Linked DNA regions of Bombyx mori. The protein of the gene in region 1 interacts with the protein of each later gene in a biochemical or structural test. Links are inferred from orthologs where the notes say so. Each region holds a gene or a part of one and is shown in the gene's direction. Other genes may lie near its edges.

Region 1 (6,364 bases):
CGCAGTGGTTCTAGGTAGTATGGATGAACACTATTCCAGTGACGATCGGTGTGATAGTAAAAACGGCATGATGGGATCATCTGAAACGATTTCACAGAGCAATACCCATGGAACATACCGTATTAAATACAAAGAAAACCTGAGGTCTCTCCCCAGAACCCAGAGGTTTTTTTTTTTTTTTTTATTGCCTTTGTAGGGAGACGAGCATACGGCCCACCTGATGGTAAGTGGTCACCGTCGCTCATGGACGTCAGCAATGCCAGGGGCAGAGCCAAGCCGCTGCCTACCATAAAGTACTCTCCGCAAGCCTCGTTTGAAGAAGGACATGTCATAGCGCTCGGAAAACACCGTGGAAGGGAGTTCATTCCAAAGCCGGATGGTACGTGGCAAAAAAGATCTTTGGAAACGCACTGTCGATGAACGCAGCGGTTCCAGATAATATGGATGAACTCTGCTCCGATGGCGGGAGGTGCGATGATAAAAAGGAGATAAGGGAATCATCTCGAATAATTCCTCAGAGCATTCCCCATGGACCATGCGGTATAAAACACAGAGAGAACCGAAGTCCCTCCGTAGACCCAGAGGTTCCAAGCGATCCGCGAGAGTAGGACTATCGACCATCCGAACAGCCCGTTTCTGTATGGAGTCAAATGGAAGTAGCTGGTATTTGGGAGCCCCGGCCCAGAGGTGAGAGCAGTACTCCACGCGAGGTCGGACCTGCGCCTTATAAAGCGCAAGTCTCTGTCCAGGCGTGAAATACCGCTTCGCTCTGTTGAGAACTCCCAACATTTTAGAGGCCAATTTGGCTTTACCTTCCAAATGACTCCGAAACTGGACATCGCTCGAAATATCGACCCCCAGAATCCCGATACTCGCGGAAAGCTGCAGGGATACTCCTTGAAATTCCGGCGCCATGACAAAAGGGTCCTTCTTCGCAGTGAACGCGCAAACCTGTGTCTTCAATGGGTTGAACTGAACTGAATTCAGTTCACCCCACTTGGAGACCCGCCCCAGAGAGTTCTCCACTTCAGACACAAGTTTTAATCGCCTCTCGTGTACAACGCTTCGAGAGAGACTCTGATGGCCGATATATCGCGCATCCCCCGTGCTATCATCCGCATAGCAATGAATGCCATCAATAGATAGCATGTCATTGATATGCAGTATGAAAAGCGTGGGAGAGAGAGATTCCAAACGATCCGTGAGAACAGGATTATCGACAATCCGGCCCTCCTGTTCTGTGAAATTTCACTTCAATACATTCCAGCACACTTCATTCTGTTTGAAACTGCTTTAAAAACATTTCCACTTCCTACTCTAGCGCTATGCCGGCGTTTCTTCCAACAATAATTTGCTGTTTACAGGTAGACATTTTTCAACTTGTCCCGTATACAAGATGGTGCTCCTTACTCCTTATCTCTACCATTTATAGGAAAAACAGTAGCAAGGCACTTTTGTAATTTTTCAGTCGTTCAAAAACATTACAAATTCAGATTAAGTTTGTATACTTCCAAAGACTAAATCTTTCGCAGCAGTGGCGAAATTAACCTGTTAAAGTAATATGTAGTGTAGTTTATAATAAGATTGTTCTATTAAAACTTTATAGATTTACAGTTCTGTAATTACACAGAAAGGACCTAAGAAATAAAAGTTAAGTAAAATCTAAAGTCAGCTGTGGAGCCGTTAGTCGCACTCAAAGTAAAACTTTAACTTTAAATTATAGCACTTACATAAGAATTTGTGGATATTTCACGATTTGTAACATCATTACTAACAAAATTACATGGAAATACTCGTAAATTAAATTATGGAAGTATTATTATTCCAACACTTGAATATACGATAAAAAAAGGAAAAATATTTTGATCTAGCTCTTGGCTATCAGGGCTTGGCTATCTACGTACCAGCTGTATATCGATAAAGCCAAGAAGTTACTATTCATAGCCATAACATTACCTATTAGACATGTGGCTAATTATCAATACACCAATAATTCTTTAAAACACGGTTTCTCGATTTTAATGATATATATATATACTAAACTTATAAATTTTAACAATATATTTGACGAAAGGTAACACAAATTTGAAATAGCGCGTTTATGCTAACTGTCAAGCTTTCGTTGAAAGTTGGCCACCATTCTTAATATGTTTATGATCTGTGGAAATATATAACTGAAACTGAAAGATATAGGGGGACTTTTTGGCGGGAACGCGAAGTTTATTTTGTCCATTTAGTGTTTCTTCAGGTTTAAATGTGTAAGAACGGTGGTTTATTAACGGTTTGGTATCTGTGAAAGTCCACAAATGTGGGAAAATGAAACAAAGCCGTTGGATAACTTCTCTGGATCCTCCACAAAGTCCACTGAAAAAATCTCAGTAAACGACCACCATTTTACTGAGATTAAATTTCATCCCATTTCATTTAATTTCATCCCAGTTGATTAATGTCTCAAATTCTTCATTTCATTTCACCCCATTCATTTCACTTCATCTCATTTCAATTCATTTCACTTCATGTCATGCCATGTTTCATATTAATCAGTTTAATTTCATTTCATAATATCATATTTCATAAAAAAATATATTACAAAAGATTAGGCTGTATGGTGTGATACCTTTTTACCTTTCTATTTGGAAAAATAAAACTACTACTACTAAAATAATGACGTTTGACAGTTTTGTTTCAGAACGAACGCCTCGTCAGCCAATATTAGCCATTATTCCGTTCGCGGCAGCCATCATTGATCTTGTTGAACAGAAAAATGGCGAAAGTCAGAATTGCCGCCGTCGTCACATGTATGCCGGTTAAATTGCAAAAAACTGATGTCAGTTACTTAATGTTTACTCGTACTATTCCATAAGTTTAAGGATCAGGCGATCATAAAATAGCTGCACACGTTTAATAGCAGTTCCCAGCGTAGCATTCGATGTCAGCGGTTCCTAGAAAAAGATGGCTAAATTCGATTCATCGATCACAGATGAGGTTAGTATTGTTCAATTTTATTTTTAACACTTGTCGTTCAGCCAAAATATTACATGCCATGGTAGCACGACGCAATTTGCCGGTGACCAAGTATTGTATCGGCGTAATCAATTTGCTTTGTTCGGCACATCCACGTGCCTTCCGCCATTTGGCAGTTTTATCGTTGAATTTACATAAAATGTAACACATTTGACAGATTAAATAATCGCTTTAAACGTAAATTTCTTCGTATTAAACAGTAACACGTGTGGAAAATACAAAAATACCGAATGAGAAGAGTTGGTGGCGTGGTCGAGAGAACTGTTTCCTTGTTCCGGCAACGCGGTGCTCCCAACCAATGACCGAGTTCGTCGAAGGCTGGGTTGTCGCGCAGGTGCTTGGTGAAGGCGCCTATGGAGAGTGAGTTCTCATCTATCCGCTATCTAGATGCCGGATTCATCTTAACCACTCACGATCACGACAGCTCAGTATCAGCTGATTTGAGTATATACAGTATAAGACCAGAACCAGAAAAGTATTACTTATATATAAGGGTGTATGTGCAATAAATAACAAAATAATTTAAACAATCCTGATTTAAATTCACTACAAAATACTTAGCAATTAACAATATTTTTTATAGTCACTGTTGCTGCATTTGGTGGTGCTGATGTTCTTTATTGTGTTATTCATTTACTGAATCCCAGTCACCACAAGATTAATGTTTGGTGAGACATTGTTGTCTGAAGACCTTAGTCAGTCTCGTAAACTACAATCTTTGATAGAAACTGATAAATTATAATATTGTCAGGAGGATATTACTTTTCCCACTGTAATGGAAAAACAAGCTAAGTACCTGGAGATTGAGAAGAAACTAAAAAAAAATTCAAAAAATGAAAATGAAAAACTGATCACTTCATTAAAAAAAGAAAATTGAAATTGAGCCTAAAATTATTAATACTTTGATATGTAACACTTATATATATTTAGTTTGATAGAAAATCATGTAGCCCATTGGATGCTAAAATCCAACTTTAGGCCACAAACTTAAAATGACTTCTAGGGCATACCTTACCTTATTATATAAGCTCAAAGTCCATGTCGAATCTAATGTATCCTTCACAGTAAGATCTCATTCTTGCAGTAATACACAGTGCAGTAGTGTTCTATTACCTCCAGTATTTTATTGCTTTCAATAGCAAGTGTGCTTAGCTTAAAGATGCAGTGTAGACCATGAGCATTGGTTATCATAGGCTACATCTTCACAGGATCAGGATATCATTCACCCAGATCAACAATATTATTGGCACAACTAAGTACCTACTGAAGAGGTGGTAGTGAAGTTATATGGATTTGATAAATAAGTTGGACTCCAATGAGTAGTTGAATAATGAACAAAGGACGGGTTAGGGTTCGGCTGCTGGTGCACGGCGCGTCGGGCGCGGCGGTGGCGGTGAAGGCGGCCCAGGGCTCGGGCGGCGCGCGGGAGGCAGCCCTGCAGCGCGCGCTGCGGCACCCCCACGTGCTGCGCTGCTTGGGCGAGCGCACGCATCTGCAACATCACTACGTGTTCCTAGAGTACGCGCAGGGCGGCGAGCTCTTCGACAGAATCGGTGAGTGCCTCTCCCCCCCCCCCCGACCCCCTTCGCCTCAGCCGGCTCGGCAGAACGTGACCGCGTTTTTTGCTCTACACAGGCCGTTGACGCGTTCGATCAGCTTATTGTGCATTTTTTGCGACCTGTTTCTTTTAACTCAAAGATTGATCAAAATTATAATTTACTAGATGCCAGTCTATTTGTTTGAATAAATTAAAACTGAGTAAAAATGTACTTTAGCAAATGTCACTTTCATGTGACTTTTTATGAAATACAAATAAAAGAAAGTATGACTATCTATTGCAGTTGTTTTTATTATCACATTCTATAATCATTATATATTTTGTTAATGTTTACATATCGACGCTTGAAAGGCAAACGTGACTAAGCGACAATGCGTGAACTTTACAGTAGACTAATTTAAAGTTGAAATACCTGAAAAAAATTATATTTTAACGAATCTAGCTGTAGGATTGAAATTATTTTAATAGCCCTAGAAATATATATTTATTGGGCATCGAATATGGTTATTGCCTATCATTTATGTACAAAGCAGTTATTGTCGCTTAGTCAAGTTTGCCTTTCAAACGTCGATATTATTTTAAGCTTTTGTAGTTTCCTACATTATAAATACTTTTACCCATCAAAATATGCATGTAAATAAAAATGAGAATGTTCACATTATGTTTGTGCTCTGTATTCCTAAGAGATTCATTTGATTATGACGAAACCCCAGTAAGGGGTGTTACAGTACCACCAAGGCCTGAAAGGTATGCGGGTAGTTTAAAAAGTTTTATTTTTGATATGATTAGCGAGTCACAGCAGTTGGGACCGGGTGCCACTAACTTGAAATATTGGTATCTCAACAATATGTAGAAAACCCATTTTTAAAAATAAAAACAATTGTAATTTAAATTTTACAACATGTCGAATTTAACTGAATAACAATATGAATAATAATATATGTAGATATGAATATGAGTATTGTATTGGATTGGTAGGCTCCCTCACCTCTACTAGCATAATATAACAATCCATTGGATAAGTTAAATGCTGTCGCTTTTGTAAGTTCAAGAGAGCACATGATAATATTTGATATGAGCATTCTCTAAAATAGATTAAAAATTTTTGATAGAGAATGATACGACATAAGCTGCAAAAAAAAAAACAACAAATGTACGTAATGGACACAGTGTCTATAAGAGTAAGTACCACAAAATGATTTAAGTGATCGCAGTTGAAAATTTTGATGTAAAGAGGGCATATTAGTCGTTACAATACATCTGAATAGTTAGAGACCATAAAGCAGTTTGAACCCATTGGAATGAGTCTCCATATAAAGAAAATTGCCTTGAAGATTGCCCACGCAAGCTTAATGAAGAGACCAAATGAATTGTGTACTTGTTTGACATTTTCCATTGAAATGTATTAAAATCGAACCTTTTTGATTGATCACTGGTAATGTAAACTGGATTACCTACCACAAACACATGGCAGACACATGCCACTCGACAAATAGAGCGCTTGCACTTTCACCAGCTTCAGATTTTCACCAGCTTCTATGCGTTCGGCATTCTTTCGGTAGTCTTAGCATAACATCACGAGAGGACTGAAAACCAACAATTCTTAACTAATGGGATTATATGGGATACTCTACCTACAAAGTGGCACATATATATTAAAATATTTAAAATGCAAGTAGACCCCCCGGTCTATAGAGCTGTTTCAGATTTGTGTCAATTCTTTTCGGTCTGGTTTTTGCTGATAGACAAACTTTAATTCTGTACTGCACATATTTCGCTTTC
Region 2 (6,563 bases), about 17 Mb from region 1:
GACGCAGCCCCGTCCATATTCCTTGTGTACTTCACATTCCATACACCTAAAAAATTACTTAGCAATACATTCTAAAGTAATGCTTCGTTTTAAGATAAAAAGGTAGCGGTCTACTGACCTGTGTTTTCAATTCCCAAAAGGTAATTTCGTATTTTTTAAAATCTATAATTTTACGTACATAAACACGTAATCTTTAACCGACAAACAAGATTGTTAAAGACGAAAACTGTGCAATTTCTCCAGCCTGAACATTCAATTTTATGCGAATGTTATTTAAAACTAGTAACTATTAATAATGGTAAATAATTTGCAAATTCAACCAATCTTAAAATAATCGTTAACAATATATTTTAAGAAATCAACAAAAAGCAAACGCGTTACTACGGCGAAATTTGTCAGTTGCCATAAACAATTAGCTTCGTTTTTTTTTTCGAAATTCATCATTCAGAGATCATGGATTTAGGCAGGTAGAAGTCTCAATGTTGTGTTTCAATATTTGGTTATACTGTTTCTTTTTCATCACACACGAAAAATTATGACCGTCTAATTTTCGGCTGCAATACTTGAGTATAACCCCGACCTTTTTTTTTTTTTTTTTATTGCTTAGATGGGTGGACGAGCTCACAGCCCACCTGATGTTAAGTGGTTACTGGAGCCCATAGACATCTACAACGTAGACGCGCCACCCACCTTGAGATACAAGTTCTAAAGTCTCAGTATAGTTACAACGGCTACCCCACCCTTCAAACCGAAACGCATTACTGCTTCACGGCAGAAATAAGCAGGGCGGTGGTACCTATCCGCGCGGACTCACAAGAGGTCCTACCACCAGTAATTACGCAAATTATAATTTTGCGGGTTTAATTTTTATTACACGATGTTATTCCTTCACCGTGGAAGTCAATCGTGAACATTTGTTGAGTACATATTTCATTAGAAAAATTGGTACCCGCCTGCGGGATTCGAACACCGGTGCATCGCTTCAACACGAATGCACCGGACGTCTTATCCTTTAGGCCACGACGACGACCTCAATGCTGTTCACATTTTCTGGGAGATAGTTATCAGCAGATGGCGCTCTCAAGGCTTGTGAAATAATCAGACGTGAGCTTTCTAAATAGTCTTCAATTGTATGGATAGGTTATGATTTTATTACAGCCAAACTCAGCCGAAGAGTAAAGGTATTTAAGTAATAGTAAAGAGAAGCCAAATTAAGTAGGTACAACGATCGTAGGTATTAGGCATAGAGTTAGTATTATATAATAGTTGTAGGTACTTATTAACTCCACGGTTCTAGGTCACTTTTTAGTCATAGTATTATTAAGTATAATCTATGCCTTTAATTGCTTTTTCGCGCCTAGACTTTTTGGCGGGAACGCGAGAAGTGAAGTTGTGTGATTTGTTTTATTTTGCCTATTTAGTGTTTCTTCAGGTTTAAATGTGTAATAACGGTGGTTTATTAACTGTTTAATATCTGTGAAAGTGCACAAATGTGGGAAAATGAAACAAAGCCGCTGGACGCAATTTCGGGATCCTCCAAAAAGTCCACTGAAAAAATCTTAGTAAATGACCACCGTTTTACTAAGATTATATTTCATCCCATCATTTAATTTAATTTCATCCCAGTTGATTAATGTCTCAAATTAATAATTTTCATTTCATTTCACTCCATATTATTATCATTTTTCATAAAAATAAGAATATAAGTTAAAATAAGACATGACTTAAAGGTCTTAGTTACCAGGACATAAAATCACTTAAAAAAAAATTTCGCGCCTCTGGACTTTTTTGCGGGAACACGAGGAGTGAAGTTGTGTGATTTATTTTATTTTGTCTATTTAGTGTTTCTTCAGATTTAAATGTATAATAACACTGGTTTAACTGTTTAGTATCTGTGAAAGTGTACAAATGTGGGAAAATCAAACAAAACTGCTGAACGTAACTTCTCGGGATCCTCCAAAAAGTCCTCTGAAAATTTTTCAGTAAATGACCACCATTTTACTGAGATTATATTTTATACCATATCATCTCATCTCATCTCATTTCATTTCATATCACTTCGTAATATCATTTTTCATAAAAATAAGAATATAAATTAAAATAAGACTTGACCTAAAGGTCTTAGCTACCAGGTCATAAAATCCCTTAAAAACTAATAATAATTTCGCGCCTCTTTTATTAAATGTCAGATTTGTTGTTTTTAACGTGTTTTGTTCAAGAAGTTTGTCGAAGAATCCAGAGTTTTAAACTTTTAAATGTTTAGCTACCATTAATTTATAATGAAATCATGAATAATATACAAAATTTGATCGATCGTGAACTCGGTCTCCGTAAGTACTTGTGAATTAGTATGTAAGAGGAAAGGGCAATTGTTGTAAAGATTTGAAAAATCAATTGGAACTGTCTTTACAGATTGCCGGTTTAATTACGATACGGTACTGAAGCGGCTAGTGGTGAACAGTGAGGAATCGTTTTACGGGCTCCAATCCTCAAATGTTGTAGCAAATTTTGAACAGGATCCTCCGATATTCGCTTGTAGATTTGCTGAAACATCTGGCTATGAACACATACTGGCTCTTGCTAACGAAGATGGAAAGGTTGCTATTCAGGTAACATACATATCTTTGTCCTTCAGATATAGGCAGTTCACAACCAGGAATATGAACAAAGCACTGTATGGTGAATGAAATAATATCATTTAGAGAAAAAGTAATCTTTTGACTTTTGTAACATTGGTCACTTGTATTAGAGGGTTCTATTGCACTGTACTGGATTTGATATTTCAAAGAAAATTTAGAAAGGGTTTATGTTATAGCACAAAAGTTTTTTAGAATCATAATGATAATGGATATTGCCAAGGTTCTTTGCCTCATTTTTGTTTTCGAATTCATTACTATATTATTTTTTTGTTGACTGATGTAACTTAATGTTTATTTAAACCATAACTGAAAGTTAATATGAATTTTATTGGCTTTAGGTGGGTATATGTTGTTTTTTTAAATAATATAATAATAAAATTGTTACTTTTATACCATAATTAGCCAAGTCTCACAAGATTAGGTAGCTTATTGTGGGTCATCACGGGATCAAAAAACCAAGAAGTACTTCTAATGTATGCAGTACTTTTACTCTATTTATTAGTTTGTGAAAATCGAATATGTAATATTTAAGATTTTCTTAGAATTTGTTGATGGGAAACTAGAAGCAACAAAGACTCCCTTTAGTGGTATCTTGATTACGTAAAACAGGAACTAAGTGATTCACGTGCTCACAACTAGATCTCATCAATACATTTTTTTATTACCCTTGTAGGCAGACGACATATAGCCCATTACTCGTAAGGTGAATGGTTACTGTCGCCCCAGGGAGGTCGAGCGCAGAGCTTCCCTGCCGCCCTCGGACGCGTTACCCCCCATTACCACTTCCGAGGTTAAGGAGGCGATCGATAGCCTACAACCACGGAAAGCTCCCGGCTCCGACGGCATCCGCAACTGCGCGCTTAAATTGTTACCAGCCCAACTGATAACGATGTTGGCCACCATATTAAATGCTGCTATGACGAACTGCATCTTTCCCGCGGCGTGGAAAGAAGCGGACGTTATCGGCATACACAAGCCGGGCAAACCGAAGAACGAAACCGCGAGTTACCGCCCCATCAGTCTCCTCCCGGCGATAGGCAAACTATACGAACGGCTCCTTCGTAAACGCCTCTGGGACTTCGTATCCGCGAATAAAATTCTTATAGACGAGCAGTTTGGATTCCGCGCCAGACACTCGTGCGTCCATCAAGTGCACCGCCTCACGGAGCACATCTTACTAGGGCTGAACAGGCGGAAACCCATTCCGACAGGAGCCCTCTTCTTCGATATAGCGAAGGCGTTCGACAAAGTCTGGCACAACGGTTTGATATACAAACTGTATAACATGGGAGTGCCAGACAGACTCGTGCTCATCATACGAGACTACTTGTCGAAGCGTTCGTTCCGATATCGAGTCGAGGGAACGCGTTCCCGGCCCCGTCATGTCACAGCCGGAGTCCCGCAAGGCTCCGCCCTCTCCCCGTTACTATTCAGTTTGTATATCAATGATATACCCCGGTCTCCGGAGACCCATCTGGCGCTCTTCGCCGATGACACCGCCATCTACTACTCGTGTAGGAAGAAGGCGTTGCTTCATCGACGACTTCAGACCGCAGCTACCACCATGGGACAGTGGTTCCGGAAGTGGCGCATCGACATCAACCCCACGAAAAGCACAGCGGTGCTCTTCAAAAGGGGTCGCCCTCCGAACACCACGCTGAGCATCCCTCTCCCGACTAGGCGCGTCAACACCCCCGCCCCCGCCGTTCGCCCAATCACGATGTTCGACCAGCCCATACCGTGGGCCCCGAAGGTCAAATACTTAGGCGTCACCCTCGACAGTAGGATGACATTCCGCCCCCACATTAAGACGGTACGCGACCGTGCCGCCTTCATTCTAGGACGTCTCTACCCGATGATATGTAGGCGAAGTAAAATGTCCCTTAGAAATAAGGTGACACTCTACAAAACTTGCATACGCCCCGTCATGACCTATGCAAGTGTAGTGTTCGCTCACGCGGCCCGCATACACTTAAAATCCTTTCAAATCATTCAATCCCGTTTTTGCAGAATAGCCGTCGGAGCCCCGTGGTTCGTCAGGAACGTCGACCTCCATGACGACCTGGACTTAGAGTCCATCAGTAAGTATCTACAGTCGGCGTCCATGCGCCACTTCGATAAAGCGGCACGACACGAGAACCCTCTCATCGTGGCCGCCGGTAACTACATTCCCGATCCTGCGGACAGAATGGAAAGCAGTCGACGTCGCCCAAAACACGTCATCTCGGATCCTCCCGATCCACTAACGGTGCTTTTAGGTACTTCAAGCACCGGTCACCGTTCTCGTCGAACCCGTCGCTTGCGACGAAGGGCTCGACGAGTAAATTAACTCTCAGACACAGCCCACTGAGTTTCTCGCCGGATCTTCTCAGTGGGTCGCGTTTCCGATCCGGTGGTAGATTCTGCGAAGCACGACTCTTGCTAGGGTTCGTGTTAGCAACATCGTCAGGTTTGAGCCCCGTGAGCTCACCTACTAAAGTTAGGGTTACGCTGACATAGCCGCTAGGGCTATCAGCTTAGGTAGGAAAAAAACAAAGGTTACTGTCGCCCATGGACATCAGCAATACCAGGGGCAGAACTAAGCTGCTGTCTACTATTAATTGAATGTATTATATATAGTATAAATAGTACTTTTAGTCAAGAAAATAGTGGGTATTATGTAGCAGTTTAAGGCAATTTAGTTCAGGCTCGATTGGAATAATATAAAAGGTAATTTTCATTTGTTTTGCTTGTGGTCAGAGAAGAGGCTAATTGGTTTAAAATGGAATTTGGTTATGATATCATAATTATAATATATTATATTTTATTTTATTTATACTTTCTACAATTTTCCAGGACACATCCACGCAAAAGACAGCAAGTAGATTGGAAGCATTCCAATGTCACAATAATGCTGTATTTGACCTTGCTTGGATGCCCAAAAACATGAATTTTATAACTGTTTCAGGTAAATTAAACATAATTAAAATTTCATGTGTTATTTTGTACTTGTGAATTATGCTACTTAAAGCCAGGCAGCTGCAATGGACTTCAGCAATGCCAGGGACAGAGCCAAGCTGCTGCATTGATTTTATTGAATTATTAAATGTTCAGAGCAAAGGGACTTCTAATTCAAATCAGGGTGACCTCTCCGAATACACATATTACGTCACATAACTATTAAAATAAACTTTGGAAGGCTATTTAACATCTTAACCCACATGTGGAAATACAGTAGAGTTGTTTGACAGGGGACTAATCGATAATCAATATCATTAGCTGGTCTGATCTGGTTTATCTACACCTAATTTTAGTGTATTGAAAACTTTTGAAACATTAATTATAAAATAAACATTCCAGGAGACCACACGGCTTGTCTGTGGGATGCAGCAGAAGGTTCACCTAAAAGAGTTCTCGTGTTCTCGAGCCACACGAAGTCTGTTAAAATTGCCGTATTTCGGCCCATGGAGCCGTCGGTGTTCGCCACCGGCGCGAGAGACGGCCACATCCTCATTTGGGACATCCGCGCCTGCAACCAACCCACGCTGGTTTTAAAGCCAGACAACTGCCTCATGAACTGCCACTCTAACTTCGCGCCGAAGACTCCCTCCTCGCACGGCAAGCGACCCCGCATCGACGGCCACCGCGCCGTCAGCATCACCGGGCTCGTGTTCCAGGACGACGACACGCTGCTGTCCTGCGGCGAGTGCGACGGGAACATCAAGGCGTGGGACCTGCGCAAGAACTACAACGTGTACAAGCGGGAGCCGCTCCCCAAGCACTCCATTCCCTACTGCGGCAGCTCCGCCAGGAACGGCTACAGCAACCTCGTCATAGACCACTCCGGCGTGCGCCTCTACGCCAGCTGCATGGACGACGTCATCTACTGCTTCAACCTCGCGGCCTACAACCCGCTGCCCGAGCGCCGCTACGTCGGCCACCACA

Evidence for each region.
Region 2: of the proteins of serine/threonine-protein kinase grp (region 1) and protein lethal(2)denticleless, one has a biochemical effect on the other in vitro, tested with the Homo sapiens proteins (2 studies listed by BioGRID). The link is inferred for Bombyx mori from reciprocal best matches to the Homo sapiens genes CHEK1 and DTL.

What each region holds. Positions count from the first base shown.
Region 1 is NC_085118.1:17,546,450-17,552,813, reverse strand, and holds the start of serine/threonine-protein kinase grp, read left to right. Parts: upstream 1-2,467; 5' UTR 2,468-2,985; intron 2,986-3,224; 5' UTR 3,225-3,322; coding exon 3,323-3,384; intron 3,385-4,374; coding exon 4,375-4,577; intron 4,578-6,364. UniProt on the Homo sapiens protein: Serine/threonine-protein kinase which is required for checkpoint-mediated cell cycle arrest and activation of DNA repair in response to the presence of DNA damage or unreplicated DNA.
Region 2 is NC_085118.1:673,258-679,820, reverse strand, and holds the start of protein lethal(2)denticleless, read left to right. Parts: upstream 1-2,140; 5' UTR 2,141-2,287; coding exon 2,288-2,330; intron 2,331-2,412; coding exon 2,413-2,609; intron 2,610-5,474; coding exon 5,475-5,586; intron 5,587-5,978; coding exon 5,979-6,563. Other genes in the region: uncharacterized protein LOC101743785, read right to left, coding at 1-42. UniProt on the Homo sapiens protein: Substrate-specific adapter of a DCX (DDB1-CUL4-X-box) E3 ubiquitin-protein ligase complex required for cell cycle control, DNA damage response and translesion DNA synthesis.